Linked DNA regions of Tamandua tetradactyla. The protein of the gene in region 2 purifies or fractionates together with the protein of the main gene of each other region. This does not show direct contact. Links are inferred from orthologs where the notes say so. Each region holds a gene or a part of one and is shown on either strand. Other genes may lie near its edges. The genes, in order: DYRK1A and FNTB.

Region 1 (16,898 bases), on a different chromosome or scaffold from region 2:
GATCAAATGTCCATAGATGAGAGGGTCTATCATCCTTGGTTTTTACTGGCTTAAGAATACTTTCAAATGACAAAGCTGGGGTTCCTTCTATACTTTTTTCCATTTAAGAGGGATGCCTCTGCTTCTTGCTGTTGGAGCTGCTGACTTCTGACCACATATACAGTGGCCCAGACACAGCCAGAGGTACAGCAAATGTCCTTTGTAATATGGAATAGAAATCGAGTCATAGGAAGAAGTTGAAAGACAGGTTTAACAAGAAGGGAGGACTTGAGGTTGGTATTTAATTACTTAGGGAAATAAAGAAGGAAACAGATTTTGGCTGGGAGCCCACTGGGCTCCTGATATTGGGGGCTTATTGCTATATATAATTATTTCTGAATTGAGAAGTGGGAAGGAACCTATTTTATGATGTTCCAAAGATTAAGGACCCAGGCCACTAGGTAAAAACGATAGAGGTATAGTATCTATTTTCCCACTAATTGCCAATAATTCATTGTAGAAAATTAGAAAAGGCGAAAAATGCACGAAGAATAAGCATCACCTGTAATTCTACTGCCTAGAGATCAATGTAACAAAAATTTCCTTTAATATATATATATACTTTTTATTAAAAATTGAAGTCATATAATAGATATACCTTTTTATAACTTTCTTTTACCAACTCATAAACCATGATCATTTTTTTTCACATCATGAAATATTATTTTATTATGTCTGCTGTTTCAATATGTTGATATACCATATTGTTTTAACCAAGACCCAATGTTGGACATTCAAGTCATTTCTAATGTTTCACCATGATGTCACTTAAGGATGTTCTGGAAGGATGGAGGGGGTCGACCTGGGGAAACACTGCATGTGAGCAATTGTTGAAAGAAAAGAAGATGTTTAGCCTAGGAAAGACAAGACTCAGGTGGGAAAATCACAGCTTTCTTCAAATATTTGAAGGGCTGTCATTTGGAAGAGAAAAAAACTCATTCTGTGTGGTCTCAGACGTGAAGAATTTGAAGCAGTGGGTGGAAGCTGTGGGAAAATGAATTCATAGTGTGCGAAGATGAATTTTCTATGTTTAAAGACAGCCAAAGAAGTTTTGGGCAACTTCAGCAAGTAGTGAATTTCCAGCCCGTGAATATGCTTAAACATAGGCTAAAAGGCACTTTTCTGACTATAATGTATTCACACTTACAATAGAATGACCTAAGTATTTCGAGAACATGGAAGAAGAAACAATTATATATATTTTTGTCTTTAGAAGGTTCCCGAAAGTTAAAATTTGTATTTGGTTCTCTTATTCTTTATATTAGGGCCAAATATTTATATAACAATCTACAGTTCACAAAGTGTTATAAGTAATCTCCCATCTGAAATGGGAAAAGTGAGATTCAGGGAGGTTAAGTAAATCATTCCTACAACCAGTAGGTAACTGAAACCAAACTAGAACCCAAGTTGTCTGTCTCACGACCACTTTTTTCTCTAGTTGTTATTATTATTATCAAGGTCACTAATCCCTTCCAGAAAAGGCAGATTCACAGGACATTATCTATACCCTACTTCATCTCAAGAAAATGAAAACATCTTCAGTGACTAATGTGAACAAATTGTCACTGTATAGTTACCAAATAGACTCTTCAAACTGGAAATTCCATCTCTTTTCTTCCCATGGCAGAGACTTCATGATTAGAGTTTTGACAGGTAAGGTGGGGCATCTTCCACCTAATATCTTATGATTCTAAGGTGTCTCGGGCACCTTCCTCTCAGGACAGCACTCCTTTCTTTGGTGGTCTGAGACCCCTCAAATTAATTTACTTCCCTATTAGCCTTCTGTCTCATATTTGCCTCCCACTCTGCCAGCTCAGCGCTCTGGAACACAGAGCTTCGTCCCTGAACTCCATCTGTCCTGTTGCAAAGCACACAGCCCAGAAAGTGCTCCAGCCGAACGCAGAATCTTTTTTTTTTTTTTTTTAAATATTTTTATTGCGAAATCTTCACACACATATAGCCCATACATAAGATACAATCAATGGCTCACAATATCTTCACATAGTTGTGTATTCATCACCATGATCATTTTTAGAACATTTGCATCACTTCGGAAAAAGAAATAAAAAGAAAAGAACTCGTACATCCCATATCCCTTATACCTCCCTCTCATTGACCACAAGTGTTACAATCTACCCAGTTTTTTTTACCCTTTATCCCCCCCCATTATTTATTTATTTATTTTATCCTTATCATTATTTTTTTACTCATCTGTCCATACCCCGAATGCAGAATCTTTATTCTTGTTTATGGCATCCACCCCGAGTCCTTGCCTCCAACTCAGCACTTTTGGGCTAGACGATCAAGAAGAAAATGTCAAGATTCTCTTTTGGGCGCAGAAAGGGCCTGGTCCTGTCTCGGGTAATCAGCTCCCTGCCTCCGCTTACCCCACCTAACCAAAGCTAATCAGAAGCTCCCTCTGATAATGAGCCATCGGCCACCTGAAAGACACCCCCATTTAAGTCTAAATCTCCACCACTCGCCAAAGCTGCCCGCTTCTGCTGCCCTTCCACTAACACCCCCCACCCCTTCAGAAAGTCTCATCCAGTACAGGAGGGCATGTCAGGGACAAATGACCACCTCCTCCCAACCCTAGAAGGTAGGGCATCCTCTGGCTTTTCACCATTTCCTGGTTTCAGCTGCTGGTACACTGCATCCAGCTCTTGCTTTTTTGCAATTCCTTGGTAACTATGTTCTTTCAAATACATGTATTTGGTGCCCAGTGTTTACCAGGTATTGGGCTAAGCACTGAGCATGAAAGAGAACGGTGACAGAGACAGGTCTTTGCCCTGGAAGAACTTCCTATTCTATGGCAAGTGGAAGAGGAAAACATTCACAATGAAAATACAGGGAGTAAGTGGGTTCTTTGAGAAGGGAATGAGACCTTCCAGGGGAGAGGACAGCAAACAAGAAAGAACCAGTTGTGTTCCGGGAGCTTAAATGGGGAAGGGCGTGTGGGTAAGCCCCAGCAGAGGCTGGGAGGTCAGATCATGACGGGACTGAGGAGCTGAACTAATGAGAATGAATGTCATTCCAAAAAACACTAGGGGAGACCTTGCAAAAATTTCAGCAGGTAGTGATGTGATATTGGGATTTTACACAGATTCCCATACAGCTTTAGAAAGAGCACGAAAGATGAAGGAGCCAGGGAGGCTTGTGTTTTTTATTTTTTTCTATTCTGTTGGGATTTTCAAACCATGTTCTGAAATTGTTTTTATTTCAACAACAATAACAACAAGATCAGTGGCTCCTTTTGTTTTATTCTTTGTACTCCTCATGATATATATTATTATATAAATGATACATTATATAATATGATAACATAGGACATATCATATATTAACATGATGATGTTAATATACGTTAAACACTTTTTGCTTTTAAAAGTCGGGAAGTAAATCCAGATGTGAGATTGGACAGATTTGTTGCTGTACTTCATGTATGGGCTTTTTGGTGGGTGACCTGCCTGGAGCTGCTGATAGTACAGGCAGGCTGGAAGCTATTATTTTTGCATTTGGGATATAGCATGGGTCTAATAGGCTGGAGGGATGTCAACAGACTTGGCCACACAGAGATCCTGCGCTGTCCAATGAGAGAATACCCAAATCAACTGTTTCCCCCCGCCCCAGATGGGGGGCTGTGGGGTGCACAGGAACACTGGTTTGAGAAATTCTGCTGTGCTGCACTAACCAGCTACATGGTTGTTGCTCACATTACTGTATCTCTTCAGTGGAATCTTCTTTCTGCTTTGCGGACTGCAACAATCTTTCCTCTAGCTAGGAAAATTCCATTTACTTTCAGACCCAAAGAGATCATTTCCCGCTTCTGTACAAATCACTGGAGAGTTCCCCCTAAAGTTTTATGACCGTTGGCCTCATGATGGATGGAGAAAAATAGGAAGAAAATAGCAGGAGCTCAATATTAATTTAAAAATACAAAACAAAACAGTATTTACAGCATGCCAGATATTGTGCTAGTGACCCAAAGATGAAAATATAGTCACCTTATCCTTGAAGCACTTAGTTTGGAAACCAATGTGCAAAAACAATATAATCAGATGATACCACTGTCTCAACCACATGCATATCTCTCGTATTGAATTGAAACAAAAATATTGAAGACATCAGCACTAAATGTCATACCAGTAAGCACTCTAGGAATATTAAATGATGTCTACTACATACCTAGATTTAAAAGCCTAGGAAATAAGCCAAAATGCTTAAGAACTATTGAGCTAATACCCCATTGAAAGAAGTTACTTTCGTAGACTACTGTGCCTCCCACCTAATTTTTAAATCCATGTATTTAATTATTTTTCATAGTTTCATTAGGTCATTAGCCATTTTACATGGATGAATCAAAATATAAAAGAGACTTCCTTTTCAAGTCTTGCCAAAATGTTGCAACAGGTTTAAGATATTCCCAAATAGTGTGGAATATGCATTTTAATCTAACAATTTCTTATTTTCTATTTAACCTTTATCTTACTGTCATGGGAAAAGAAAATGTTAATGATAATTCATGGAATAATGTTAGTAAACATTCTTACCTAGTTGGAAGGCAATGAGTATTGCTCTTTTTTTTTTTTTTTTTAATGGCACCATTAGAACCACATCTTGGCAGAAAATAACCTTTCAAGCAACCTTAGGATGCTGGTAGAATGGGTCCGGGGAGCTCTGGAGCTCTTGATCCTTGTGTCTGGTGAAGAGGTGGTGGGGGATGCAAACCTGATGATACTAGGAGCCAGGAGGAAGCCTGACACTACACAGGGCCAGAGCTGGAGCGGCTGCGATGGTGGATGAGCGGTGTCCAAACACATGAGCTAGCCTAACGACAGCAAATGGCCTTCCAATTTCCTTTTCTTTCTTTCTTTTATTCCAGTAAAATTGCCAAGGAGAAATCAATAAAAAGATGATCTCTCTCACCCTCCAAATGGGCAAAGGATATAGACAGGCAGCGCACAGACAGCCAGTACACATATTTAACAAATCATCAAATGGTCAAAGACATGTAAATTGATACAAGAGAGTATGGGTAAAAGTCATGCTTGCATGATACTTTTTCCAGCGCAATTGGTGAAATCATTTCTGAGGGACATTTTGGCAACATGAATCAAGAGCTTTTCATTTCGTAAGGAAGCAACTGGACAGGTGTGCAAAATGTTAATATATAATGTTCGCGCAGTTTTAATTGTAGTGAAAAAGTTTCCTAAAAATAGAGGAGTAGGGAGTGCATGGGTGGTTCAGTGGTAGAATGCTCACCTTCCATGCGGGAGACCCAGGTTCAATTCTCGGACCATGTACCCTCCCCCCCCCCCCAAAAAAAATAGAGGGGCAGTTAAATGAACTATGGCTCATTCAAGAGATGTAACCCTATGCAGTTGTTAAAATAATTATCTAAATTTTAATCAACATAAGAAAGTGTTCATAACACGTGTGCGTGTTCTATATATGTTGTGTGTGTGTATGCACATGTGTTTCACTAAAAATGCCTGGAAGGTTATAGGCCAACATGAAGAGATTAGTAAGATTTACCTCTAGGCAGGAGGGGGGTGGTTGTGAGTGATCTTTATTTCTATATTGTTTTCTGTATCGTAAAACTTTCTGGGTTGGTCCACAGTGGCTCAGCAGGCAGAATTCTCAACTGCCATGCTGGAGACCCGGGAATCTGGTGCCTGCCCATGCAAACAAACAAACAAACAAACAAAAAACTTTCTGTAGTGGCATTTTTACTTTTATTTTAATATTTTTGAACTTCTGATGTAGTGAATTGAAATTTAACTTCTTGGTTCATAGCACACTGAAACCGTTGTCAGTTTATATCAGGCCCCCTCTTTTTCATTAGAGAAGTTATAGGTTTACTCCAGAAAATATGCATAAAATACAGAGTTCTTATATAGCACCTTATTATTAACACCTTGCATTAGTCTGAGACATTGGTTACAATTCATAAAAGAACATTTTTATAATTGTGCTATTAACTATAGTCAATCATTTACAATAGTGTTCACTGTTTTGTGTTGTATAGTCCTTTGGTTTTTTTTTTATTATTCTAGTAACATATATACAGCTCAAAATTTATCCCTTTAACCACATTCACATATACAATTCTGTGTTCTTAATTACATTCATGTTGTTGCGTGAACATCACCACTCTCCAGTACCAAAATTTTATGATCAACCCAAATAGAAATGGATTAACTCCTTATTCCACCCCATGCCCTGGTAACCTATATTCTAGATTCTGACTCTATGAGTTTGTTTATTCTAATTATTTCATATCAGTGAGGTCCCCCTTTGTGTTTTAATTTATTTTGTTTCATTTTAATCTGATGTACATGCACTACTTTTCAAATCAGGACAAACCTTAAAGCTTGGAAAAAGGGAGCAATAAAGAACCTTCACTGTGAGGTCAAAAAACAGTAGTGGTGACAGATTCTGGACCATGCCGCTGTCCAGGGAGGACTTGTGAGCCCTTCACCTTCTCACCTGGTGTGAGGAGCAGAGCTAGGAATACTAGTAAGCTTGCTTATTCTTGGAAAGTTTAGGCCATAACTCCTAGCAGGGGTCCAATTACTGAACCTTTGAGCTCAGTGTCATGAGCCACAAAAAGTGGTCCCCAATCGTGTGTGGACCAACCAAAAGAACCCACCATCTTGGCGCCGATCTGGTGACATGGGCACTGCATCTCAGTTTTATCTGTATTCCTTAGCACAGTGCCAACCCCTGGAAGGTGGGCACCTGGTCAGTGAGCGCCAGACCCTGGGTAGGCACTCAGTAAATGATTAAATGACTGCTGAATGAATGAATGAATCTACCATATTAACTTAAGAACAGATTTGTTTGCTGTGAGTTTTTCTCAATTAACAGTTCGAGTCTGAGATGAGAAAAGTTGAACAAACAACCAGCAGAGGTGAAGTTTTTCTTTCCACATATTTCTAATAAGGTTGTCACTGTTCTGTGCTGTCATACAGACTCCTTGGGAATAAGTATCAATTCCATTTAGTATTTTTATCTGGAGTCAGGTGGCGATGGCACTAATTCCAACCTTGAGGAAATAAATATCCAGAGCTCTTTACATCATAGGAAACACATAAGAAGAAGTGGCAGAAGAAAAATTCTGAATTTCTTAGATATTGGCACTTGAATTTTAACAGAAATCATCTTGGTGTAGTGGAAAGAACCTGAGCTTTGCAGTTACATCTGGGCTTGAATCCTGGCCTCATCATGTACTGGTTTGTGACTCTAGGAAAGTTACTTCATTACTCAGATTTGTTTTCTCATCCATAAAATGGGGATAAAATTTGCTGTGAGGATTAGAGATATCATAGAATGTGCTCGGTAAATAGAAGCTTTTATTACCTTTGCTTTTTAGGTTATGATCTTCGTTTTTATTGGTTAACTTCTACGAAAAGACACATCTGGTAAGTGGATCCGTCTAGGAGTCTCAGATGACAGCAAGGATTTGATCACCGAACCTGATCAACACCAAACTGGCATCTATGCCAGAGTCCTTTCTGTCTACATGTGTTTACCTGTTTGGAGCCAGCTATAATTTACAGGCAAAGCTTATTTAAAACCACTTTACAGCATTCAACCTGACACAACAGTTCGTTAATCAATGTTGTGTAAGGTTGATCACAATATTGGGGGGAAAAAGGTGTTGCCTTCTGGATATGAAGATCAGCAATACCTTCTATTTCTGCTTGTCTATAAAATCAAGATTCTGCCTCACTCTGATAATCTTCTAGATTGCCTCGACTAAAGACAAGAACACAGTGCCTGAGACTTTGCCTATTCTTTCAGGGTTACCAAGAAAATTAATTATGCAGGTTTCCTCCATAAACAGCAATAAAAGCTTGACTTGACTTTAGTTTAGTGTTAAAGATTGTAAATGCTTGAGTGTTCTGACAAAAGTGAAACCATGGTGAATGCCGACAGAGGAAGGAGTTGGATGAGTAGTTCCATTGCCTCGGTATATCAATATTCTCCTAACTGTAGAAAGGAAACATTTGTAGAAAAACATTAAAAACAAGCATCTTTCTTTGAGTCACATAGGACAGGGAGCAATATTTATTATAAGAATGTTTTTCCTTATACCTAAAATTGTTCATAAGATTCTATTTGTTGATACTGTACTTGTGGGCACTAAAAGATAGGGAAACCAAGCTTAGAAAAAAAAATCAATAGATCAGTGCCTTTTGGTGTAGTATATACACACCCACCCACACACATATACGCTTTTAAATTTAACAGGTAGGTACTATTAATTTGGATTTGTACAGATTACAGTTTTCACTCTGTGGCTGTGGAATACAGTAACCAGCATAGCGTGCCTCAGTTTTAATGCTTGGGGAGCACCCCCAGCAACATTTAGCCAGACAGAAAGAGTAGTCAGAACAAAATTAAATGAAAGCTGGAAGAGTAATAAAGAGTTTTGATTGTTCAGAACAAGTGGCCAAATCAAGAACCCGGAAGCTGAGAAGATACATCAAAAAGAAAACCAGAGAGTTGGACTTACGACAAGGATACAGTAATAATAGCCCGAGAGGATTAATTTAAGGGGAATTCCGAATGAGAAGGAAGGCTGTGCCCAGATAGGTGGGGAGGGTACGGGAAGGTTTGAAACAGGTGGGAAACCATGAAGGAGGGTGCACAGCCTTAACAAATTTTTATGGGGGGGCTGCACTCGTAACTATTGGACGGTGGCAGTAGTTTCTACAAAAACCAAGCGGTAGGACTGAATTGAGGTGCCAGCCGTAGGGGCATCCCTGGTTCCGGGGAAGCGGCCGGAATTCCGGAGATGCCCAGCCCCATCGCGGCCTCCGCGGGCATTTTCCGGCGAAGGGGAGACGTGAGTCCTTCGAAGAACAGTTTCAACCCACGGACGTGTGCGCCCAGGCCACCGAAAGAACCCCGGACTAGCAGGGAGGGTGCATCGTCCGCGCGTGCGGCCCGGGGGAAGCGGCGGGCTCCCGGGCCCCGCCGGGCGCCCGCAGAGCCCCGCCCCCCGCACGCCCCTCCCCCGCCCCGCGCGGGCGGGGCTGCGGGCGCGCGATGCGGAAGCGCCGGGCTCCGGGGGCGGTGGCGACGCGAGCGGGAGGCCGCGCGCGCACCTGGGGCCGCAGTAGGCGCGGGCGCGGCGGGAGCAGGGCGGGGCGGCCAGGGAGGCAGTGGGCGCTCGCGCACAGGCCGGGCCTCTGCCTCGCTCCCCCCTCACCTTCCCTCCCTTGGACCGTCCGTTCCTCTGGTCTCCCCTCCCCCGAGCGAGCGAATCACGCGCCCTCCTCTGACACTCGTAGCGGGCCCGAGCTCCGAATTTATCCTTCACGTGACCTGAGGGGGTTGGGTGGTTGGTCCGGGATGGAGGGGGCGAGGGAAAGGAGGGAACGGAATCTGCCGTTACCCGAGCAACAGGCCCCGCCCGCCCGTTTTGGGCCAGGGGGCGGGAGGAGGACGTCAGCACGTCAGCCGGGGTTTTGCGTTTTGATTGACAGTTGCTATAGCGACCGGGTCGGTCCGTCGCCATTTTGTTGGTTGGTTTTTTTTTAAACCCTTTCGCTTCCCGCCCGAATAATAATAAAAAGCCCCATTGGAGTGAGGCGGGGGTGGCGGCGGCAACAGCGGCGGGGGGATCCGGGGAGACTGCTGCTGTTGCTGCTGCCGATCGCGGCCCAAGTCGGGCGCAGGGAGCGGACACCCCGAGCGGGGGGTGCGGGTGCCGCCGCCGCCGCTTCTGCTGCTGCTGTTCCTGCTGCTGCTGTTGGTGCCGCTGCCGCTGCCGCCGCCGGCGAGCGGGCGGGACCGGTGTGAGTGTGAGAGTGTGTGTGCGAGCGAGCGTGTGCGAGGGCGAGTGTGCGTGCGTGTGTGTGCGAGTGTGTGTGTGTGTGTGTCTGTCTGTGCGGGACTCGGGGGCGGGCGGTTCGGGCTCTTCTGGCGGAGGAGCCGCCGCGGCCGCCGCCGCCGCCGCTCGGGCCCCGGCGCTTCTCGCTGCGCAGGTTTGGAGCGCGCGCCATTTTGTGAGATTTACAAAATCCTCCTCGGGAAGAAGCAGCCGGGAGCGGCCGCGACTGGGCGCCCGGCCTCATCGCCACCGCCCTCAGCGCTGGGCCGGGCCGCGCGGCCCCGCCGCCCGGGAGCCGGGGTCCGGGGACTGCGGTATTTGCCGGGAGGGGGCTGTCGCCTCCCCGGCCCCGGGCGCCGCTGGAACCGCGCGCCGGCGAGAGACTGAGGAGGCTGCGGCGCGGGCGAGGAGCCGAGAGCGCCGGGGGCCGAGAGAAGCGGCCGGGGCGGCGTTGGCGGCGGAGGCCGCGGCGGGAGCGAAGCGGCTGGAGCCCGAGGCTGAGACTCACCGGAGGGAGCGGCGCGAGCGCCCCGCCATCGTCGCGGTGAGTGTCCGGCCCGGCCGCGGCCCCGCCCGGCCGGCGCTCGGCTCCCTGCGCGGCCTGCAGCCGGGCCCGCGCCGAGCGAGGTTGGCCGGGTGGAGGGAGGGACCTGCCATTTTAGGAAGCGGCGCCGCGGGCCCGGGCCCGGCCGCCGGGGGAGGGAGCCGAGAGGCCCGGTCTCGGAGGAGAGGCGGGTGCGAGCCGAGGGAAAGTTGCGGAGGGCGGGAGGAGGGCGCCGCGGCCTCCGGGGAGCCGGGGCCTGGGGGCCAGAGAAAGCGCAGACCTTCACTGGCCGCCCGAGCGAAGGGGAGGAGGTTGTCTTCCTCCTCCTCCTCCTCTTCCTCCTCATCCTCTTCCCCCAGCTCCTCCCTCGTCCCTCCTCTCGGTCCCCACCAGTGTGGGAACCGCTGGGGTTCTTGGCAAGGACAATGCACGGTTAAGAAAATGGGGCCGAATGCGGGCTGAGACGAGGGCGGCCGGGCCGAGGCTGGGCTCCGGGAAGGTCGGAGCCGGATCCCGGGGCATCCCTTTGGGGGTCTGAGCTCGAGTGAGGGGGCTCGGCTTGCTCGGAAGTTGTGCGGGGAGTGCAAGTAATAATCCCGGCCACTCGAGAGGAAGGAATGACTTGTTTAGCGGCTGGAGGAGTTGGTGACTGGGGATGGGTGAATTATAATTGATACCTGGCTAAGACGGCGAAACTTCGCAAGTCTATTTATAGACCCAAATCCACTCTCGCTTGGTATTCACCAAAGCTGCTGAATACCTCAGCACTTAGCAAGACGCTCCTCCCTATTCGACAGTAGTTAAAAATGGCAAAATTAGTGAGTGCTTGACTCCGACTACTTATCTGTGTTTTTTACCCAGCCCTAGATTATATGACTCCTGTAATCTGGCACTCGAATACCGGCACGGCTTGGTTCTTAATTTCGCCCAAGGATCAGAAAATACACTTTATCACATGGTTTTCACACGTATCCAAAGTTCAAGACCAAGAAGTGGCAGGCGCTTTACGTGTATTAATGATCCCATTGGCAGGAACGGTTGCCCATTATACAGATGAGGACCTTGAGCCGTGAGACGGGTAGTGACTCCTCCAAGGTTACACGGCAGCGGGGACACGAAGAGCCGGGAGGCTGCAGGAGCTGGGGCCCTTAACCACTACCTTATGAAACTCGTTATTATAAATACTTGAGAATTTTGGAACCGTTTGTGTGTAGTGACTCAGGGTTCTAACTTAGAGGTTGTGTCCATGTCTAAGTCTAGTGTTCAGCTTAGAGTTAACTTTGGTTTATGGAAGTGGAAGGAAAGGGTTGCGATGAGGCCTCCTTAATGAAACTTGTCAGGCTCCCCTCTCACACCACCTCCTCCCCCACTCCCCCCCCCCCCCCCCCCCCCCCCCCCCCGCAAGAAAACCATGTAGTCAGTTTTTGAATGGAAGGGATTGAAAGAAAACTTTTTGGTGTGTATTCTTGACAATACAAATTGTAGTCATCATTGAAGTATTGATGACTCAAAGTTTTGTGTAGCTATTTTTAGTCATATTTCATCTTTAAATATGTAGATTTCCTCTATGACACTTTATACTCTACATATATCAAGTGTTAGTAAAAATGAATATATTTAGTTCTTTGATTTTGGAGTATTTCAATAATTCAGTAAAATTATCTTTAGTTTTTGTTTCCTTAGATTTCTTATACCTTGATGGTTCATTTACTTTAAAAGAATATTATTTTAAATTAGATTATAAGCATGAGACTGGAACTACTAAAATTCCATGTGCTGAGGTTTTAAAACGCAAGAAGGTAGTTTCAGAGAAGCAGGAGTTAAGAAAAAAGTTTGCTTGGTCATAGTTAAGATTTTTAATGTACATATGTCTTAGGCTTACCCCAGTATTCTTAGAGAATTTACCTTGGAATAGCAGTGGTGTTTATGGTAGCTGTCCAAATGGTTTAGACATCAAACCTTCCCAGAAAACGAAGAACTGCTATGAATGTCTACACCATGTTCTGTGTAAAACTGGTGTAAAAGCGCACATTTATTTCACAGAAACATAAGTCCAGAAATTAATTCTAGTCTCATCCATGTCTGTAGGGTGGGTTTGTAACACCTGGTGGATATGTAAAAAAGAGTTTAGATTTGAAGGAATAGAGTTGTAGGATGGATGACTGGTCATCATTGATTGGTAGAACCAGTGATAGAGGGGAAATGGATCTTAGGATATCTTATTAAGAATTTGAAATTTAGGTATAAGATGGTTTCTTAAATGTATTTAAAAAAATTTTTGGTGGGACCTGTTAGAAATGTAAACATACAAAATTATTGTGACCTAGGAATTAAAAAATTAATAAAGTGCAGTCTGTTAAGAGGCACTAACATTCAAAATAAGTGGGAAAAATCTATTAATTTGCAATGTCCTGTTTGGAAATGTGGATAGTTAAAAAGATTCTTGGGTAGAATTTTTTCCCCTCTAGAATATTGTCTGATGTCTGTCCCTCAGATTTACTTATGGATAGTTAGTGCATTTATTTATGATTTGTAGCTACCACGTGGGATGGGTAGTGGTCAGTGTAACAACCAGTATTTGCAAAATTTACTTAGTTTTTTCGTAGGTGGTCTGTATAATTTAACTGCAAAAGCAAAATTCGAGATAGCTTATTTTGTACTTGTACAAAGAAAAATTGCTAATTTGCATTGAATTTTGGGTATTACTTGAAAACCCTTTTTTTTTTTAAAGAAATAGCTTAGAAATTTAGACTGCCCAGAGGTGTTTTCACATGTTTATGTTTGGCAAGTATATAGGTATGGGAAGAAAATTTGGATAGAAATAACTTTATTATGGGTGTGCAGGGAATTGCCTAAGATTAATAGAAGAGGAGGCTTAGAGATTTGTGACTCAATATATGTGATAAGATGTGTATCAGTTTTTCTTTGCTTTGGTGTTAGCTTTTCTCTTATCCCAAAGAGCTTTCCTATTTCTTCTAAAGATATTTTTTAAAAACCCTCCTACCCCTAGGAAAAAACCCTAACCATCCAAAACCAGCAAACCCTTAAAATTTCAGAAAGAGATTTTATAAGAACCTGCTCTTCACCCTCCCCCCCATTTTACCAGTTGTACAGTTTTGTTGTACTCATCGGTAATTTAAACTGTGAGTTAATTTCGTTGAGGAGTGTTTTGATGTTTTTACCTCCACAGGCACTTGTATATTTTCCATTAAGAAGTAAAGAAATTAAAATTCAAACATAGTCACCTGAAACTTGATGCTGACACAACTTGCCCTCACAAAGTGAATTGCATGACTTGAATAATAGCACCTTCTGTGTACAAAGTGAATATGCCTCTTAAGACTTTTTTTTTTTTACCATATGTTATCTTGATAGTTAAACAATTTTTTGATTTTTAGAGAAATTGTGGTAATTCATAACTCAGGGCTTGCACGTTTTTGGATTAAAAATTTTGGGTGTGTGTGAAAATTTGTGTTTAATTGCTTGGAAAAACCATCAAATTAAATTATCTCAAATTTCTCTCCAGGCATCCCCAAACGTAGGATTCTTCTTTAGAAATCTTGCCTTATATCGGTGCTGTAATGTTCAGCTAGAGTTGTAAACTTTACTATTGGGTACGTGAAAGTGAAATGGTGTCACTTCATGTGACTAAAATAATTATTTTGACTCTAGTAGCTACATGTAGCCTTAGTTTCATTTTTGGGTATATGAAAACTAAGTGATTTGGGAATATTGTTGTAAAGTAGCTAATGGTTTTTAAAAGTTAGGCTTTTGCTTTTATTTTGAAGTTCTACTTCTAAAGTTCTGTAACTAGTTAAAAATCTTTATTGGAAAGATAACTTAGAGAAAATAACATTGAAAATTTGAAATGATGTGCTTCCTTATCAGCATACTTTTATGATAGTCTAGAACAATTTTAGTTTCTTGTGCTAGAGTTATGTATCCTTTGTTCTAGAAGGTGATTTTTTAAAGTTCATATTACTGTTAGAATGAAGTTTTGACGAGAGAGAGAGAGAGAGAGAGAGAGAGAGAGAGAGAGAGAGAGAGAGTGTGTGTGTGTGTGTGTGTGTGTGTATGTATGGGAACACGTGCAGTTGTAATAGTTTAAAATGTACCCTTACTCTTATTGATGAATTGTTTTTGAGTTTTGTCTCCCTGTAATTGAATGATTATTTAAATAGATTTTTGGAGGGCTCAGTGAACTGGCTAACATGGAATGAAATGGCTTTCCTCATTGATTCTATTTTAAATATCATCCATGTGTATTAATATTAAATAGCCCCTTAATTTTACTAAGTATTTGTCATTTCCAGTGATAAGGGTTGATTATTTTTAAAATTTCATGGACATTTGTGGTTAAGATTGACATCTCTGTGTTATGTATTTCAGTAAAAAGATGCTTTACCATGACATCTTTCCAAAGTCTGATGTCTAGTTGTAGGTAGCAGTTGAGGCAGCCTGATACTGTGGAAAGAGTGTTGGCCTGTGAGATGGTGGTGAGCAAATGATCCAGACTCACGCAGACCTGGACTTTTCACAGTTTCTGCCACTCCCTGGTGCTTGTGACTTCAGGCACAGTGATTTCATTAAGCATCAGTTTCCTCATCTGTAAAGTGGGATTGATGGTACTGGCTGTAAGGTTTTTGTGATGATGGTGGTAATGCCTGTGAGTTTCTTAGAAGCTCTCTCTCCCCCCCTTTCTCCCTTCCCTTCTCTTCATTCATGCTTATCCTTTTGGTGTCAGCATAATTAGCACTTCTTCAGAGAGGCCTTCCCCAAATCCATAGACTATGCAAGGTTTTTGGCCATGCGTTGTTAAGGACCTTCTGTTTTTCACAGCCTTTATCACAAATAGGTATTAATTATGATATCTTTTCTTCTTTCCCTTAGATTGTGAGGTTCATCAGGGCAAGAATAATGTCTTTCTTGATCATGGCTGTAATTCCAGTGCCTGCCATATAGCAGGGGTGTGTGTGTGTGTGTGTGTGTGTGTGTAGACAAATAGACATCCTACCAAAGACCACATATCCAAGACTGTTTTGCAGATAAATGTGGCCACATGACCAAGTTCCTGACTATTTGGGTGAGAGTAGAATTCATGACTGCAGCCTCCAGATTTTAAAGTGGTGAGGATGTACCTCCTGCACACTCCCGTTTTGCACATTGCATTCCTGGATTGTGGATGTGGTTGGGAGCTATCTATTACTATGTAGAAAATGGTAGCTCCTTAAGCATTAGAAAGCAACAAAACAAAAGGAACCAATGTTCCTTATAACATGGAGCCACCATGTAAACCTTAGACTGTTTAAACTTATTTTGATGTGGTATGAGAGAGGAATAAATTCTTGTTTAAGTCACTATTTGATCTAATTAATGCACATAGGAAGTTAAAATTTGTAATAAATATTAATTTAATAGCTACCTACCAACTCTAGAGCTGAAACTGCAATTGTATATTCTCATTTCAAGTCACTGCAATGCTTGCTTCCTATTGGGTAACCCACTACTGAAATGACTGTACAGTACCACCTTATGTTTATATGGCATTTTACACTTTTACGGAGACCTCATTTATAGTACCTCATTTCACTTTTCCACAGATCTGAATAGGTCATATATAGGCATGGCATATACAGGACACTGAGGCTCAGAGAACCTGCTTTGCCCAAGATTACACAGCTAAGGAGTGGTACTCAAGATTCAGCATATAACTTTCTCATTCTTTCATGCTATATAAGCTGCAAAGGATGTTTGGATATGTGGTCTTTGGTGGAATGTCTGTCTGAAAATCTCTGTTACTACTGAAGAAAAAGAGAATGGAGGACACTTGATCATTGCTTGCCACCCTTTGAAGGTTTTAGAAGAAACAATTACAGAAATAAACTACAAAAAGACAATTTATTGCACTAATTAGTGCTTTGTTTTCTGTATATGGTCATTTGAGCTGTGATATACAAATTCAAGTGAATCATCAGTTATCAATATATACATATATGTAATCAGATTAAAAGAAAATGTGGCTATACTTTTAGAAGTGAAGGGATTTTGTGTCCAGTGGCACATTATTTTCTGACACTTTGTTTTCTGATGGAAACATTATTCTTGATTGCTATGATTATGTGTATGTAAACAATATTTGGAATTTAAGCTTTTGGATTTAGTTTTAATAGTCTCCTGGATCATACTGCACATATTCCTGCTCATATCCTCAGCAAACAATACTAGAATGACACTTGCATCTTGTCAAAGTTTTAGTAAATGTTTGAGTCACTGGATGTTGCAAGAAGGATGATAGCAGTGATGTTTAAAAATATATTTAGGGGCGGGCCAGGGTAGCTCAGCAGGCAGAGTTCTCGCCTGCCATGCTGGAGACCCAGGTTCTCTTCCTGGTGCCTGCGCATGCCAAATATATATATATATAAATTTAAAATGTATATATATATATTTAGTGACCAGTATCTTCCTCTTTAAC
Region 2 (15,979 bases):
TGTCATCTGCTCGTTTTCTATCCTGGCTTCCGATTTCATGAAGCTCCCAGAAGGGGTTTTCCTTCTTCATCTCCAAAGGTCACTGGCTAGTGGACTCTCTGCTTCGTGATGCTGCAGCATTCTCTGCTCTCTCTGAATCTCCATTCTCCAAAATGTTTCCTCTTTTATAGGACTCCAGAAACTTATCAAGACCTACCCAAATGGGTGGAGACATGTCATCACCTAATCCAGTTTAACAACCACTCTTGATTAAATCACATCTCTAGGGAGATGATTTGATTAGTTTCAAACATACTGTATTGAATAGGGATTATTCCGCCTTTATGAAATGGTATTTAGGTTAAAACATGGCTTTTCTAGGGGACATACACCTTTTCAAACCAGCACAGGTAGTACTGACATCTCAACAATATTAAGTCTTCTAATACATGACTATGGAATGTCTTTCCATTTACTTAGATCTTCTTTAATTTCTTTCAGTAATGTTTTATAATTTCCAGTGTATAAGCCTTTCACATCCTTGGTTAAATCTATTCCTAGATATTTTAATTATTTAGATGTTATTGTAAAATGAACTGCTTTCTTTGCAGATTGTTCATTGCTGGTGTACAGAAACACAATGATTATTATGTGTTGATCTTGTGCCCCATGACTTGTCTCATAAAGTCATCTCCACTGTGACAAAATTAGTTTTACCTTCATCCACAATTTTTACAAGAAAAGTAAATTTTTGCTTTCTGACTTTTCTTCTGAATTGGTCACAGTATCTGTCTGGTTCTCTCATATAAATAAAATAAAATTTTTAACACGTTTAATTTTATATCTGTATGAGAGTCATGGTTTTACATTTTCGTGAAAATTACCTTTTAAAAGTAGATACATATGGTATATGATTTGCGAATATAACTCAATAAAACTGCTTTTAAAAAAGTAATTATATAGCAGGCGGGCCATGGTGGCTCAACAGGCAGAGTTCTGCCTGCCATGCCAGAAACCCAGGTTCGATTCCCAGTGCTTGCCTATGTTAAAAAAAAAAAAAAAAGAAAAAGTAATTATATAGGATGAATGAGATGTGCATACATTAATTTGGATATAAAAAATATTGTGTTAAAAAAGCAAGATAACAGAGTATGATGCAATTTGTGTAAACTCTTAAACACACCTTACACAAAGAGTAAGTAGAAGGATACACACTGAACTCATGAACTCATGACAGAGGTTGCCTCTGGATAGGGTGAGAAGCTGACTGAACTGAGGATAGAGGTTAAATGAGACTTTGGCTATATTGTAATTGTTTTTCTTTAAATAAATAACCAGAAGCAAAAAAATTAAAATGTTAACAACTGTTAATTCTAGGTTATAGATGAAAATAGCTGTTATGTTATTCTTTTGTATATATAAATACATATCAGTGTGTGTATATATGGTTTATATATAATATGAACTAATATACATACAGTTTGTCTTTTTCAAAAGATGGAGAGATTGTGCTTGACTCTAAGAGTCAGAGATTAAGTGATTTCAACCAAGTCACTAAGATTTGAGGCCAGTGGTTATAAAGAAAGATCTAACCATCTGTCTACATTCTCTACAGCTCTATTTAAAAGATATCTCATGGAGTTTTTCTAGAAAACCAATCAGTAGAAGCACAGAATAATTTCCATTCCCAGATGAGTGTTAAAAACAAATTAATGCATATGGTACTTTCTCTTTCACAGCTTCTATCTAAAACCAATCTCATGGAGCACCAACTTTCATCTCATGGACTATTACCACCCTCTTTTCTACATCTCCCCCTCTCTTCCCGAGGAGGGTCCTTCCAGAAAGCAGATTTGCTGTCTGAGACTTATGCTAATGCGTAAGCTTCAATAAAAGAATTACTAATATATTAAATATGAGGCAAGGATTTTTCATAAAAAAAAAAAGATCTCTCAGAAAAGAAAAGTCACTTTACAATCACTTTCTTACACAGTTCCTCTTACAGTTGGGAGTTCTTTCAATTACTTTATTTTGAATACAAAGTACCAGTTGGAGGTGACGCGTTAACCTAAAACAACTATAGTCAAGGGCTGGTTTTGGCTGCTTATAGAAGGAAAGCTGAAGGTATCAGCAAAAAAGGAGGCCAAATTACACATAGATTTAGCAAGTATTCCTGGGGATATAAACTCAGTTCCAAGTGTGGGAAGTCAATATAAACCAACTTTTAAAGATAACTTTAAAAAGTAACAGATTAAGTGGTTAACTTGTGGCGATCACACCAACTGGACACATTACAAAAAATACTAATGTTATACAAATGGATACTTGTAGCTAGGGATTTAATATTCAATGACAGTATCTTACACACACTGGAAAAAGATGTATCTCAAAGAACTTAAAGCATGATTTGAAAACCATACTGGCTGACTCAAAAAGTGGCTCCAGTAATGACAGAAATATTTGTGTTATTTTACAAAGTCTGCGATTTTAAACAGACATATTACCTAAATTTAAAACATAAATTTTAAAGTAGACATTTAATTAGATTCACCTACACACATGTATTTTCAAGTGGCCCAGAAAACATTATTTGGACTTTTAAATTTTTATAATTTTTTTTATTTGATTTTTTTTTTTTACAGGGAAAGTAGGAGACTCCTTGATATTTGGAATTGCCTTATAGTTGGGCATATATAGTATACTGAATTTCAATAAGGAATAAAATAGAGTAAAAACAGATTCACATAACCTACTGACCACTCAGCCAAGCAGAGCTCTGGCCCCTTCTATCAGAAACCTTTAAAAAAAAAAACAAAAAAAAACCATGATCATATTTGGTTACTTGTTCCAACTCAATTTAATGGTTTTCAGAAACTATAACTAGAAACATCAGCAGAATCTAGAATTCCTTCCTAGAACCCCGGGCTGTGACCTCTTTCAGGATCTGCAGTGGCTTCCTGCCCATCACTCTAAGTTAGTACTTCAGCCTGGCCGCAATCTGGACCTACCCACAGAGCTGACCTAATTTCCTACCACATTCAATGTGCACCCTCCATTCCCTATAAGCCTTTTCTTCATTTGTCTGCAACCAAGCCTGGGTCTTCTCTCCTAATGACCCCTCCCAGTGGAATGGAGGTCCAAACTCCATTTATAGCCCAACTCTAATTCCAAATTCTCCATGAAGTGGTCCTAACTGCTTCAGCCCAGACAGATGGCTCTTTCACTCCCTGAAAACCTACAGCAATACAGTTATAAATTTAGCACATAATCACATGCTGTCATAATAATCCTGTGATTGCTTCAGACAAATTCTTTTATTCTAAGAGAACACAATTTTAAGGGCAAGGACCAAGACTGATAATTCTTCCTTATTTCCCCTCAGAGTTGACTGTCACTTGATTAAATATAGTATAAGGACAACCTGCTATTTGAAATGAGGGATGCTTTTGCCCCTGTCTAAGGGCAAAGTAAAGGAAAAACAGGAGTAGTATCTTCCATAAACAACTGTTTTTTGCAAGGCTGCTCCTCTGCAACTATTAACCTACTGGCCTGAATCACACAGCCTTTACACTGGGATGATTCCAGATGGCACAATAAGAAAAGGAGCCTCTGATGACACAATACATACTGTGCACACACATTTTCCCCCCTTTTTCTCCAGGCCTAGAACAAGTTTCATAAAGGCATCAACTTGGCATCTTTTGTTCACTGCCTTAGCGCCTGGCACATAGAAGGCACTCAAGCATATGTTAATGAAATATTAATAAATGAAAATGAATGAATGGAACAGAACAACCCATAGAAAAGGGCTCTTTTCTCACCATTTAAGGTTTAACTTCCATTATCAGATTATTATTTAACAAACAAATAAAGTCTCCTGAGAATCAGATAGGAGGCAGGTGAGTAAGCTCTTGTTCTTATTGACTATGGCACCAAATTGAGTTCTGTCAGTAAATCTCTGTGAATAAATGGAAGCTTCGATCAGAACCCAAAGCAGTGGTATCCTTTGGAATGAACTTCTCCTAGGAAGGTTAATATGTCTGATGAATACACCATTATTAACCTACCAACCCAACACTTCTCTAAGCCTCAGCTGCCTTATTTGTAAAATGACTGAATGCTGGGACCCAATAAAAGTCATCATGATGATTATCAAAACATTGAGGCAGCTGTGAGACACATACCACATTACCTTCCTACTGTCTTGAACCACTTATCCTTGGTTTTTAAAATGTGAGCTGAAGTAATGACATGGAAAAGAAATTCAAGATGCTCTATGATCTACCATATAGCTGGGTCCAGATTTGACAGACGCCCTATAACATCAGTGTTCCACATTAAAACTTTACCTCCAGTCTTGGCCCTGTCACTGGCCCACCCTCTTGCAGAGCAGAACCTTCTTGTATCCATTTTTGCATCACTCATAGCGCCTAGGTACTTAGAACATAAGTACTGTTGTTTTCCTGGTAGGAACTCTGCAGGGCAATTGTTTTAGTTTACTAAGGCTGCCAGAATGCAATACACCAGAGATGGACTGGCTTTTATAAAAGGGATTTATTTGGTTATAAGTTTTCTAATTTGGTAAGACACATGGAGACATCTGCTGGGCTTCTCTCCTGGCTTCAAAATGGCTTTCTCCAGGGTGATTCCTTTCTGCATCTCCAAATGTCTGGGTCTGAGCTGGCTCTGGGTTCTGAGCTGTGTTGAGCTGAGCTGTGCTGAGCTCTCTTCTGACCTCTCTCTCTTAAGCCTCCAGCTAATTAAATTAAACATCACTCATCGAAGAAGGCACTCCCCCTAGCTGACTGAAGATGTAATCAGCCATAGATGAATGTTACATGCTGATGATTTAAGTCCACAGCAAGAGAACCCGGGACTATCATCTGGCTAAGTTGACACCTCAACCTAACTATAACACACTCGAATGAAAAAAGTAGTAAAAGAAAAAGAGAAAAAGCTCCCCATAATATTCCTGTTTTCCACTTGCCTCTCTAACCTGGAAGTCCCTGTTCAGGTCTCTAAAAGTAACAGACCAACTTCTGAATCCCTTTTCCACCAGCAACCTATCCATACTCTAATCTACTGGGTAAATTCAGTTAACTATATAAAAGGTGACCTCACAGTCCAAGGTCAGATACACAAAAAAGGGTTTGGCCTGACTCAACAATCCATCATTTAGAAATATCACAAACATCAAGTAGAATTCTCATTGATGGGAGATTTCTTTGCAATCTTCTGCAAATGACTTCTGTAGAAGGAAGCAATAATGGGTTAACTAACCAGGGGACCTTGATTCAAAAGGTAAGGGTTTCCTTTTCTACCCTACACTTCACGAAGCTTAAATCTCCAGTTCCATTATTTTCTCTGCTACTATGTGCATAACCTTGTACTTAGGCCCTCATTTTTTGTTAATTTATAGTCATAGTTATAAATACACAATATAATAATTATAATTATTGCCATTAATTTTGCCTAAATAGAGGCTTCCAACTTCAGGTATGAAAAACAAGGCAGGTCCCACCAAGGTTAAGCCCAGAAACTGATCTTACTAGGAGATCTTATTAGCAAGCAGCCTAATGTGAGTGCTAAAAAATAAACACCCTGACTGACCACTTCTCCAGGCAACAGATAGGTAAGCATTTCCACAATAACTAACTCGGAAAAATTCCAATTGGGGAATGAAAAGAAAAAACTATAGCTCACTACTCATTTCCTAAACACTCTTTTCAAAGTGATAGGTTCAGTTCTACCTCTAGGCCTTAGCGAATGACAAGTAGTCCAAAATTCATACTTTTATTGTAACACTTTCCAAATTGTATTGTTTTTCTTTCTGGCCTCTCCAACTACACAGTACGCTGCTCCTGGACAGGGGGTACGATTATTTATCTTTGGATTTACAGCTTTTAACATTGTGTCCAATACACAGCTGGTGCTCAAATGACTGAACGACTAACATGATATTCACCTACCACGCAAGCCCCAAATATGGTATTGCAGGTCAAAAATTAAACAGGTTATGGACCGACATGAGTGCAGTCTGGCCAAGTCTTTCTGCTCTATGTACTGAGACTGAACAGGCTGAGGGAAGTGCACCCTTCATCCGAGAACCTCCCGCTGCCACTGCTGAATGGACTAGGCTCTCCGACCCGCCCGGGCTGCTTCAGCCCTCCAGTCACAGAACAAGAGTCCCTCCGCTTCCTAAGGCAGACGGGACGCAGGTACTGCCCTCTTCTCCAGGCCCAACCCTAGCAGTGACCCTCTCCCACCCGGCCCCATGAAAGCTCGGCTCGGAAGCCCAAACCTGGGCGCCTACAGCGTCCCCGCGGGGAGGCGCCCTGGTGCACTGTGGGAGTCGTAGTTCCCGGCGAGTTCCGCGGACACGGTGGGTTCCCACGGCGCCCGGCTGACCGACTCCCGCGCCCAGCAGTCCCCGCGCGGGCGTCTCGCCCCGTCCCGCCACCTCACCTGTTCTATGGACGTGACTGTTTCCACCGAGTCGTCTTGCAACCGCTCCTGCGCGTGCTCCGGCCTCAAACTATACAGCGGCTCCGACCAGACGGGGGAGGAGGATGGCGGGCAATAGTAGGTAAAGGAACTCGGAGAAGCCATGATCAGGAGAACAGCGGGCGGTGTACAGGACTCAGCTTCCTCAAGCAACAACGCGCATTGAAACTCGAGCGGGTTAAGGCGGTACGGACACCGGGTAGAGTCAAAATATATAGGAACGCGAATCTCTCGCCTCCTCCCTACTTCGTTTCTGGGAGTGGGTCACTGGGATGCTGCCGCCCCCCACTGGGCAGAGGAACTGCTGCAAGAAGCGGTTGCCCGAAGTGTGGGAAGGATGTGTACATTTGACTTTCATTTCAGAAGGATGGCGTAGGATGATGCCTTGGTTCGTTAGGGAAATTAAAAACAAAAACTTCAACACCATGCCAGTTCTCAGTTGTAATGGCAGGAATTTGCACTTTCAGGTGCCCGAAAGCCAGTAAGTATAACTTTAAAGGTCCGACAGCAATTCCATCAGCCTTATGCTATTGCTAATAGAATTATTGTGCACCTTTGGGTATGTGACAGCCACCTGGGAGAAGGCAACTGCTTCTCAACAAATGTGTAGCATTGCTGTCTCACTACTCAGTGATGGAGGAACGGGGCATTGCCGTTTTCTCCTGTCCCCTCGGAGGTTACATTTGAAATAGCAGGAACTAAAATGCGGAAGGAACAAGTATCTGGGAAGCAACCAAGGAAGTATTCAGTCATTTATTAAGCAAATATTTATGAAGTATCTACCATACCTAGGAATGTAAAAGTTAACAAAACAAGATCCCTGCAGATTGGACAGAATTAAAAATGAACGAACACAGGAAATATATGAAGACTTGTGGTAAATGCTATGAAGGAAAATAACAGGATCGTCGAGGAAGACTAAGGGGCAAAGGGATGATGAATTCGTTTGGGTGGTCGGGCCAAGCTTCTCTGAGTCAGTGACTTTATCAAAGACAAAACTGCACAGGACAATGTTGAACAGGCAGGGTTGACTTTATTCAGAGGCTGCGATAGCAAGGGAGAGAGAGAGTAGCTCAACTCCGTTGAAACAAAGGACAGAAAGCTTTTTAAGGACTCATAGTGGGTTGGAGGGAAAGCAGTGGAGGATGATAAGCGCGGCAGATCACCGGGGAGGGTGAGTGATGAGGCGGCAAGTAGGAGCACTTGGCTCAGAATGTTTTCGTTTGAGGTAATTGGGCCACCTGGAGTCTGTAAAGGCCAGGAGAGAGGAGGAGGGAGATAAGGAACAGTACTCTGTAAGGAGCCTCGCTGGCGCCTGTGGAGGGAGAAAAGAGGGGCATTTTGGGGGCGTGTGATATTTAGAATAGTTAGCATCTGAATTGTCTTTCTTCCTTTTCTTTTTCACCCCGTGCAGTCTAAGTTGCTTTTATCTACAGCCCCCCCACCCCCCACCCCCCACCCCCCGTTGGGATATTGGTTTCCAGGGAGTCAGAACAGGGGAAGGAGCAAGCAGGAGCCTGCAAGGAATAAGACTGGCATTTGAACCACAGCAAGTTCAAGAGCTCATGCTGCAAATAAACATCTATGTTTGTATTCATTATAACTCTTATTGTGTGGATCAATCATTGTATATGCCTCCATAAAACCAATTTTAAAGTTGTAATATTAGGAAAACTCTGCTACTACCTCTGGACCCCCCCCCCCCCAAAAAAGGAAAAGAATCTCGTTCAGGGCCCACATCAAAAAGACTGTACCAAAATTAAAATACTAAGAGGGTGGGGGTTGTATAACAGACTTTCCAGATAGACTTGCTGACAAGATCTATTTCCTGCTCAGAGCATTTTACTCCCACTCAATTTCAAGTCACATATCTAGGATCCAGGGAACAGTGGTGTGATATTTCATAACCAACCGTTCCCCTGTTCTCAGTCTGCATTCAAATAGAAGCCCTCAGTAAGATTCCAGGGTTGCCGTTGCCAGTGAGATGGCATAAAAGCCGCAGACGGGAGAACAGTACCACCACGCCCCTCTTAATGGTACTATTGCAGTTAAAGACCTGTAGGCGCCAGGATGTTACCAAATCTGGGAATCTACGTGGAACTGTATGGGTTAGACTGGGATGTTGACATCGTATTGTCTTTCCCTTAGTTCTGTTTTGGAAAAAAAAAAAAAACTGCCTGATAAACACTGGGTCATATTTAAGGATTCAGCCTTCTTTGAAAAGACTTGCTTTGCTTAAGAGCTAGAAACTTAACATTTCAATCCCAAGAATTATGTTTTTGAAAAGAGTAGTTGGGAAGAGTTTTGTATCACAATTGTTACATCTGTATAAATGCACCTAAAGCAATTGCAAATTATATTCTAGAACTAGAACTCTGTTTCACAAATGTAGCCTCCTCTGCAGTGGGATCTGAAAGATGTTAATAGGGGTATGGCAAGAGTCTCCTGCAGGACAGTGTCTGTTCAGTCATTAAATATTTCAGTAACCCCCAGTTGCTGAGCACTGAGCTAGGTGCTGAGGAGACAGTGAACAAGCCAGACACATAGTCTGTGCCCTCATGAGTCTCATGATTTACCCAAAGAAACAGACATTAAACAATAATTATAGCATTGACTATTTCATTACAGTTGGGGAAAATGGCATGAGTGAGAAGCACAAGGTGTTGTGAGATTGCGTAACAGAGAAGACCTAAAGTAATCTAGTAATCAGGAAAGACTCCCAAAGGGAAAAGGGTTATCTGAGTGAGGGGACATTCCTGGCAGAGCAAACTCCAGTGAAAACCAAAAGTCGACTTTTGAAACAAGTCTTTTTAGAAACAAGAAATGGAAAATATAAGGTGTTTGTACTCTATGTAAACGTCGAGAAGATTAGCTTCTGACCAACAGTGATATGCCAGTTTCCCTTCCTCTGAGTTTAATAAAACTACTTGTTAAAGAAGCAGAATGAATATAAGTATTGGTACCACAGGGAATGATGTAGTTACAGGGGAACACCTTAATAACCAATAGCAACCCAGCTTGAACTGCAGATGGCTTGGATTTATTTTACTCAAATTCCTGATATTTTTCCTGAGTTAAATTGTAAATCTTACTTGTTTCTTTTTTTAAAAAAAATGCAGAGAGTGCTATTTGTCCTTCTATTAAAAGCAGAAAAACAAGAAAAAAAGAGTAATGGCTTAAATAAACCGCTAGAGGTCGCTCATAGGATAGGCTTTAAAGCTGCGTTACTCTCCCAAGCCTTCTGTCTGTATGATTTGTTTCTCTTCTTAATATCTTGTGAAACTTTGTAATAATACAACCTGGAAAGTTTGTAAAATAGAAAGAAACCACCTGTTATCCCAATAGGAAAGTATTTTCCTCCCCACATTTACTCCCCTAGTAGCATCTGTGCTGGATGGAATCCATCTGGATGGATGACTTCCCAAGCTCCTACCTAAGGCCAATTCCTACCCATCTCCTCAGACCTCACCCAAGGACTTTACTCCAACGACTCTCCTTTCTCTCTCCTAAACGTCAAGGTTTTCCTTTACTTGATCGTGCCCATCACCCTAAAACATGTTATTTGTCTATTCTTGAGGTGGGGGGTGGGGGGGTGGACATGTTTAACCCTCTCGGTTCTACTCTTCCTCCAGTTACCTCTCCATTTCTCATTTCCTTTTAGAGCAAAAATCCTTCAAATAATTACCCCTACCCAAATCTCCTATTCCTCTCCTCCAACTCATTCTTGAACATATTTCAACCTGGCTTCCAAATCAGCGCTTGTCAAGTCCCCAATTAAATGCCATATTGCTAAGTCCAATGGCAAATTCTCAGTTCTCATATCAAGGCCTCCTGTTTGACTTCCAAGCAACAGCTGACATGGTTGATCATTCCCTGCTCCTGAAAACATATTCTTGCCTCATAAAGGACACCACAGCCTCCTGGTTTTCCTTTTGCCTCATTGGCCTGTGTTACTTCATCATCTCCCTGACATCTTAACTTTGGGGTTGTCCCAGTTTCCAGTCCTTGGACCACTCCTGCGTCTACACTCACTCCCTTGTGAGATCATGCAGTCTCTCAATGTTTTCAACGCCACCATTAGGATGGAAACCCCCTGATTTATTTCTCCCACTGGATCTTGCTCCTGAACTCCAGAGTTCACATCTAATGCCTAACTAAAAGATAGCTAATAGGCATTTAACCCTTAACATCTCACAACAGAGTTGCTGGTCTTTTTTCCCCAAATCTGTGTACTCATCACGGTCCTTCCCGTCTCAGTTAATGGTAACTCCATCCTTCCTGCCCAAAGACTTTGGAGCTGTCCTTTCTACCTCTCTTTCACACCTCATAAATCCTGTTCAAAATATAAATCCAGAGTCTGAACATTTCCACTGCTAGTGTCCTGATCTAAACCATCATCATCTGTCACTTAAATTCTTACAAAAGTCTCTTAATTCTTTTCCCTGATTTCATTCTTATCCCTCTACAGCCTAACTCTAATGCAAAAGCCTTACAGAACCTTTAAAAATATAAGCAAAAAATCAACCCTTAGCTCAGAGCCCTTTCCTCCTCTCTTTCAGGAGTCTTCACCATGGCCTTCAAGACCCAAGAGACATCTCTGACCTCTTCTTTTACTCTCCTGCTTGTTCCCTCATCCAGCCATGCCGACCTCCTTGCTCATCTGTGTTTTTTCAGGCACACTCCAGCCTCACACCTTGTACCCTTGCTCTTCTGTCTCCTTGTAATGCCCCTTCCCCAGATGTAGGCATGGTCTGCTCCCCCACTTCTGATAGTCTTTACTCAAATTCTCAGCCTTTCCTGACTTCCCTATATAAAGCTGCCACACCCTCCCACTCTAGTAATACTCTATCCCTCTCTCCTTTTTAATTTTTCTCCACAGCACTTACCACCAGCTAATATAATTTATATTTTACATATGTTTTTGTTTACTGTCTGCTTTCCCCCCAACTAGGATGTAAACTCTACAAGGCAGGGATTTTTGTATCTTTTGCACATTGCTGTATTCGGTAGTACATGGTAGGCATTATATAAATGAGTTAAATGAATTGAATGATTTCCAGTTACCATAATAAACATTTGAGTGCTTGTTTGTTTAACATATTGTAGAAGATAATGGCAATGAACATAATAGTAGTCTTACCCTTCCAATAAATATTAAAATACAAAATATAAATAAATATATAAATGAAAATAAATATAGTTTAAAATAGAAAATAAATAAACATGGATAAATATAAAATAAGACATACACAAAATGCAATAGGAGAACTGGGGAAGGAGTAATTAATTCTAATCTATTTAAAGAGAGGGTCTTCTAACATATAACATTTGCGTTCAGTAATATTTTCAATAGAGTAAATAGTCCGTCCTGAAAACTTTAAATGATTACATTAGAATTTGGAAATTATGAATTCTTATTTCCTGTAGCACAGAAAAGGAAATGCAAAAATGTTTCCCATCACCCAAAAAGAACAGCTTTTGACTACAGTGATTTTATGGCACAGAGAACTATGAGCTTCGGGAAAAAAATCAATAAATCATCAATTCTACATGCTTGCATGATTTTGTGTCATACATTGATGTAAAATAAATCACATTCCATATTATTAATAATTACATACACTCTCACTGAAAACCTGTACAAAGTATTATGACCCTGAGTTCTGTTTGGAGTTTAGTATGGTGAAAACTATTTTACAGCAGAGACAAAATTGAAGCCAACTGGACACATCGTTCATACTGAAAAATCTGAGAAACGATTTTCAAGACTGTCAAAAGGCAACAGCAGAAGTATGGTCTCCAGTGCATACTGGAGACTCTCAGCCCTGGTTGTGCCCTGGAGTCAAGAAAGTGTTCAAAAATTAACTGTGGTGATGAATGCACAACTAGATGATGATACTGTGGACCACTGATTGTCCACTTTGGGTGATTATATACTTTGTGAATATATCTCAGTAGAATTGCATTTAAAACAAAAACAACCTTCTACTCTAGATCCTCTATTTCCTCTTTCCCCTCTGCCCACTAGATGCCAATGTCCATGGCAGCCCTCTAAATTCAAATTTTCCCAAACCTGCATACTCGTGGTCCTTCCCATCTCAGTTAATGGTAACTCCATGTGTTCCAAAAGTTACAAAAATCTCAGTTAACAGAGATCTTCAGTGTTTTACTCTCCTGGACAAATTGGCATAATCACTTTATAGATTCAAAATTATTTTCTGGGTAAATATTGTGACCTCTTTCAATAGTATATGTTAACACTCCTTTCAGACAGCCTTTCTGAAGTTTGCTAACTTATAGCCACAGGGTCAAATCTCCCCTCTCCTTTGAGTATCCTGAAGTGTCACCTTCCCGATGGGAGTGTCCTAGAGCCCCTCGTCCCCTACTGTCTATAAGGCAATCTTGGAGGGGCTCTAACATAGACATTCCGGTAAAAAAGGAAAAGTCCAAGATCCTGAGAGAACTGGGGTCTGGTGTTTTCCAATCCTTGGGGGCAGGCAATCAGTCCTTCCTAGAGCAATGTCTTACTTTTTAAATTCAATTGAATCCCACAATAGGAGCCCCTTGTTGAAGAGAGCAGAGCCTCCGCTGGCTGGGTACCTCAGTGACTTCAAGGGAACAAAGCCACTCCCACTTCCACCCCTTGCTGCCCATCAGACTTAGCATGAAAGGGAAGTAAATCTTAAAGGTGTGAGCCCCTGAGCTCTAGGAGTTTATCTGTTAGAGCAAGCCACATTGCCTTAACTAATACAATGATCCACTGCTGCAAACATAATTTTAACAGGAAAAGTTAATATGACATTTTGCACGGCTGTGGTTGCTAATCATATTTCCCAGCTCCAGTCTCATGAAGGGAGGGATCTCTGCTGAGGTTCACCCATCACAAAATCCTCCATAGTCACAGTCTAGACCTCCTATCCGGAAGCCTCAGGAAGGACACCACAACTTTCATTTCCTACTCCGATAGGATGAAAGAATTCCTTAAAAACAAACTGTGCACAGGAAAGCATATGTGATGAGGCGCCTAAATTTGGTCCTGAAGGTAGTGGCCAGGACACAAGGACAACTTGAAATGTACTGTGGATCATTTTGTATTAATATGACTTACAGTTAGGATAGTTTCCTTTGGAGTATTAAGATTCTTGACCCCAACGACTCTCTAACAATTTGCTCTGTCCCCTCTTTCCTTGTCAGTTCAGATTTCTTTTTCCATCATTCTCTACTATTCAGTGATAGAAAAGAAAAAGGATGTAAATGGAGGACAATACTGGGTATGGTGGTGTCTGTTCAGCTTCTCCTGATTCTGAGATAAGACAGAAGAAATCTTTCTGCAAGTGAGTGTATCACCTACAGACACCCTAGAATTGGAAACACAGGTATGAGTGTGGAAGAGAGGTAGGCACAGGGCTCCCCCATCAGGGATCTGGCAGCAGGCTGCCTCTCTTGTGCATCTCTCCAGTTATTCAGCCGTTGCTATGGGCAGATCAAACAGTGGTGCCCTCGGCAGCTGTTTAAACAGGGAGCATGCTCAGTGTGATGGCAGGGGGGTGGGGGGATGAGAGGGATAAGAATCAGCATAACATAACTGAGAGCCTTATTTTTGGAGGCTTCTTGTGGGAGATGCATCCATTTACCATTTCTCAGATGTCTCCTAACTCTACTGAAATCTCACCCAGGCCAAGTTGACCAGAACTGGGGAGGATGCCAAAATGTCCCACTAAGTGGCTGGGTTGAGGGGATTGAATTAGGCATTTCATTTACAAAGACTCTAGTTAGAGCAAACTTTGTTATCTCCGTTAGTCCATGTGGTTCTTTTGCTAACATTGTCCCCAAATCTTAGATTCTCCACCTCATAGAGTGGAGAGACAGAGACAGAGAGAGAATGACAAGTTCTCTGTAAGACGACTCTAAAAGTGGCCGAGCCAGGATGAGAATGGTTAATGGAAGCTTGGATTTCTAGGCCATTCATCCCTCCCTTCCCCTTTTTTTAAGTGATATAAGCTACTGAATTTGAGGTCAGCCCAGTATAATGAAATATCCTCACATTTTTACCAGTATGAGCATTTTATTTCCCTGGATGAGTTCAGAAAACCTCACTCCCTTTCCTGACTTGCCCAGGAAAGCCATTTCCTTCAAAGGGAAATTTCCTCTTGGACTGAGGACTCCACCTAAGAATGCAGCCTCCCCCCTCCCCCCCCCACACACACACTGTACCTTCCATGTGCAGCAAAGGAAGAGCTGCTAATAACCCAGTAAGGCGGCCTGTGGAGTCTTTACTGATCAATAGAAAGGCAGCTAAAGAGTCATGTTGGATTAAACTGGACCTCTGTACTTTGGTATGGTGGTCTAGGGGGCTAATTGCAGTAGGACAGGGCCTCAGTTCAGCTAAAACATCCTTGGCCATATTCATCTGTGGGATTTATCACCCAGGCATGCATAAGGAAAACATTGCAGAGTGTTGTTTGTCCCTCGGTATTTACTGAATACTTACTATGGATCAAGTGATGTGCTGAATCCTTTCTACCACACATTACCTTATTTCATAGTTCCAACAATCCTGTGAGGTAGTTACTCTAAATATACCACACCCTTTTTACACATGAGGAAACTGAAGCACAGAAGGGTTCAGTAACTTGCTCAAGTTTGCAGTTGGTAAATGATGGAGATGGGACTGGAACCAGGTGTGCCTAATCCCAGAGTCCTCAGAAGGTGTACTAAAGCCAGCAAAGAGAAATGCACCTGGAAATCTTAACAGAAAACACAGGATCAGTTCCTTAGCTTGTAATGTAATCAAAGTAACTGTCAGGTTTAGGATTTTTCCCCTCTTTCTTATAAATTTAGACACTTTGCCTGATATATAACTGTTCGAGTAAATGGACATCCCACTTCCCTTGATCGGTTACTGAAAAATACATTCTCCCTTCAATACCAAGCCTCAAAACAGGGGCACAAATGCACGCGCACACACACACAATTTCTTCATCACTTAAAAAAAAAACCTATTGGGCTAGATTTGCTCTCCTCTAATACTCATTCGTAGGAATAGGCAATTTTCTAAACTCCAGGGAGTATTTATCCGCCTCTCCCTGGTGTGAATACATTCAAGTGGTAGTAAATTAGGTCTTGAGAGAGGCCCATTCATTCTTTGGTGCCAACTGAGGTAGAAATACTTAGTAGTTTGGAATAATGCATTTGCACCTGAGCACCTGCCCGGAGCAGCCCAGACGCTAGTGCATTTGGAAATGCTTTTTTATGATCATCTATCTTTTCACCCTTCTGAAGGAGATCAGCAGGCATTTTCCCCCTTTAAAGAAAAAAAATGGGCATGAGAGGGGGATGGTGACATAGTCACACAGGGTTCCTGGGAAGCCAGATGGCAGGGAGAGCAGAGCTGCAGCAACGCTCGTGAGTGTTCTTGGAGAGGGCGACTCTGAAAGTAGCCAGCTGTTTCAATCCAGACCCAGGCCAAGGCTTTCCATCCTGGGGCGAGCTCAGG

What was found.
Region 1: the proteins of FNTB (region 2) and DYRK1A purify together in Homo sapiens (affinity purification with mass spectrometry; 3 studies listed by BioGRID, counting the BioPlex papers as one). This does not show direct contact. The link is inferred for Tamandua tetradactyla from reciprocal best matches to the Homo sapiens genes FNTB and DYRK1A.

Annotation. Positions count from the first base shown.
Region 1 is NC_135336.1:104,632,438-104,649,335, reverse strand, and holds the start of DYRK1A (dual specificity tyrosine-phosphorylation-regulated kinase 1A), read left to right. Parts: upstream 1-10,315; 5' UTR 10,316-10,426; intron 10,427-16,898. UniProt on the Homo sapiens protein: Dual-specificity kinase which possesses both serine/threonine and tyrosine kinase activities. Exhibits a substrate preference for proline at position P+1 and arginine at position P-3.
Region 2 is NC_135338.1:22,225,038-22,241,016, reverse strand, and holds the start of FNTB (protein farnesyltransferase subunit beta), read right to left. Parts: upstream 6,691-15,979; 5' UTR 6,589-6,690; coding exon 6,445-6,588; intron 1-6,444. UniProt on the Homo sapiens protein: Essential subunit of the farnesyltransferase complex. Catalyzes the transfer of a farnesyl moiety from farnesyl diphosphate to a cysteine at the fourth position from the C-terminus of several proteins having the C-terminal sequence Cys-aliphatic-aliphatic-X.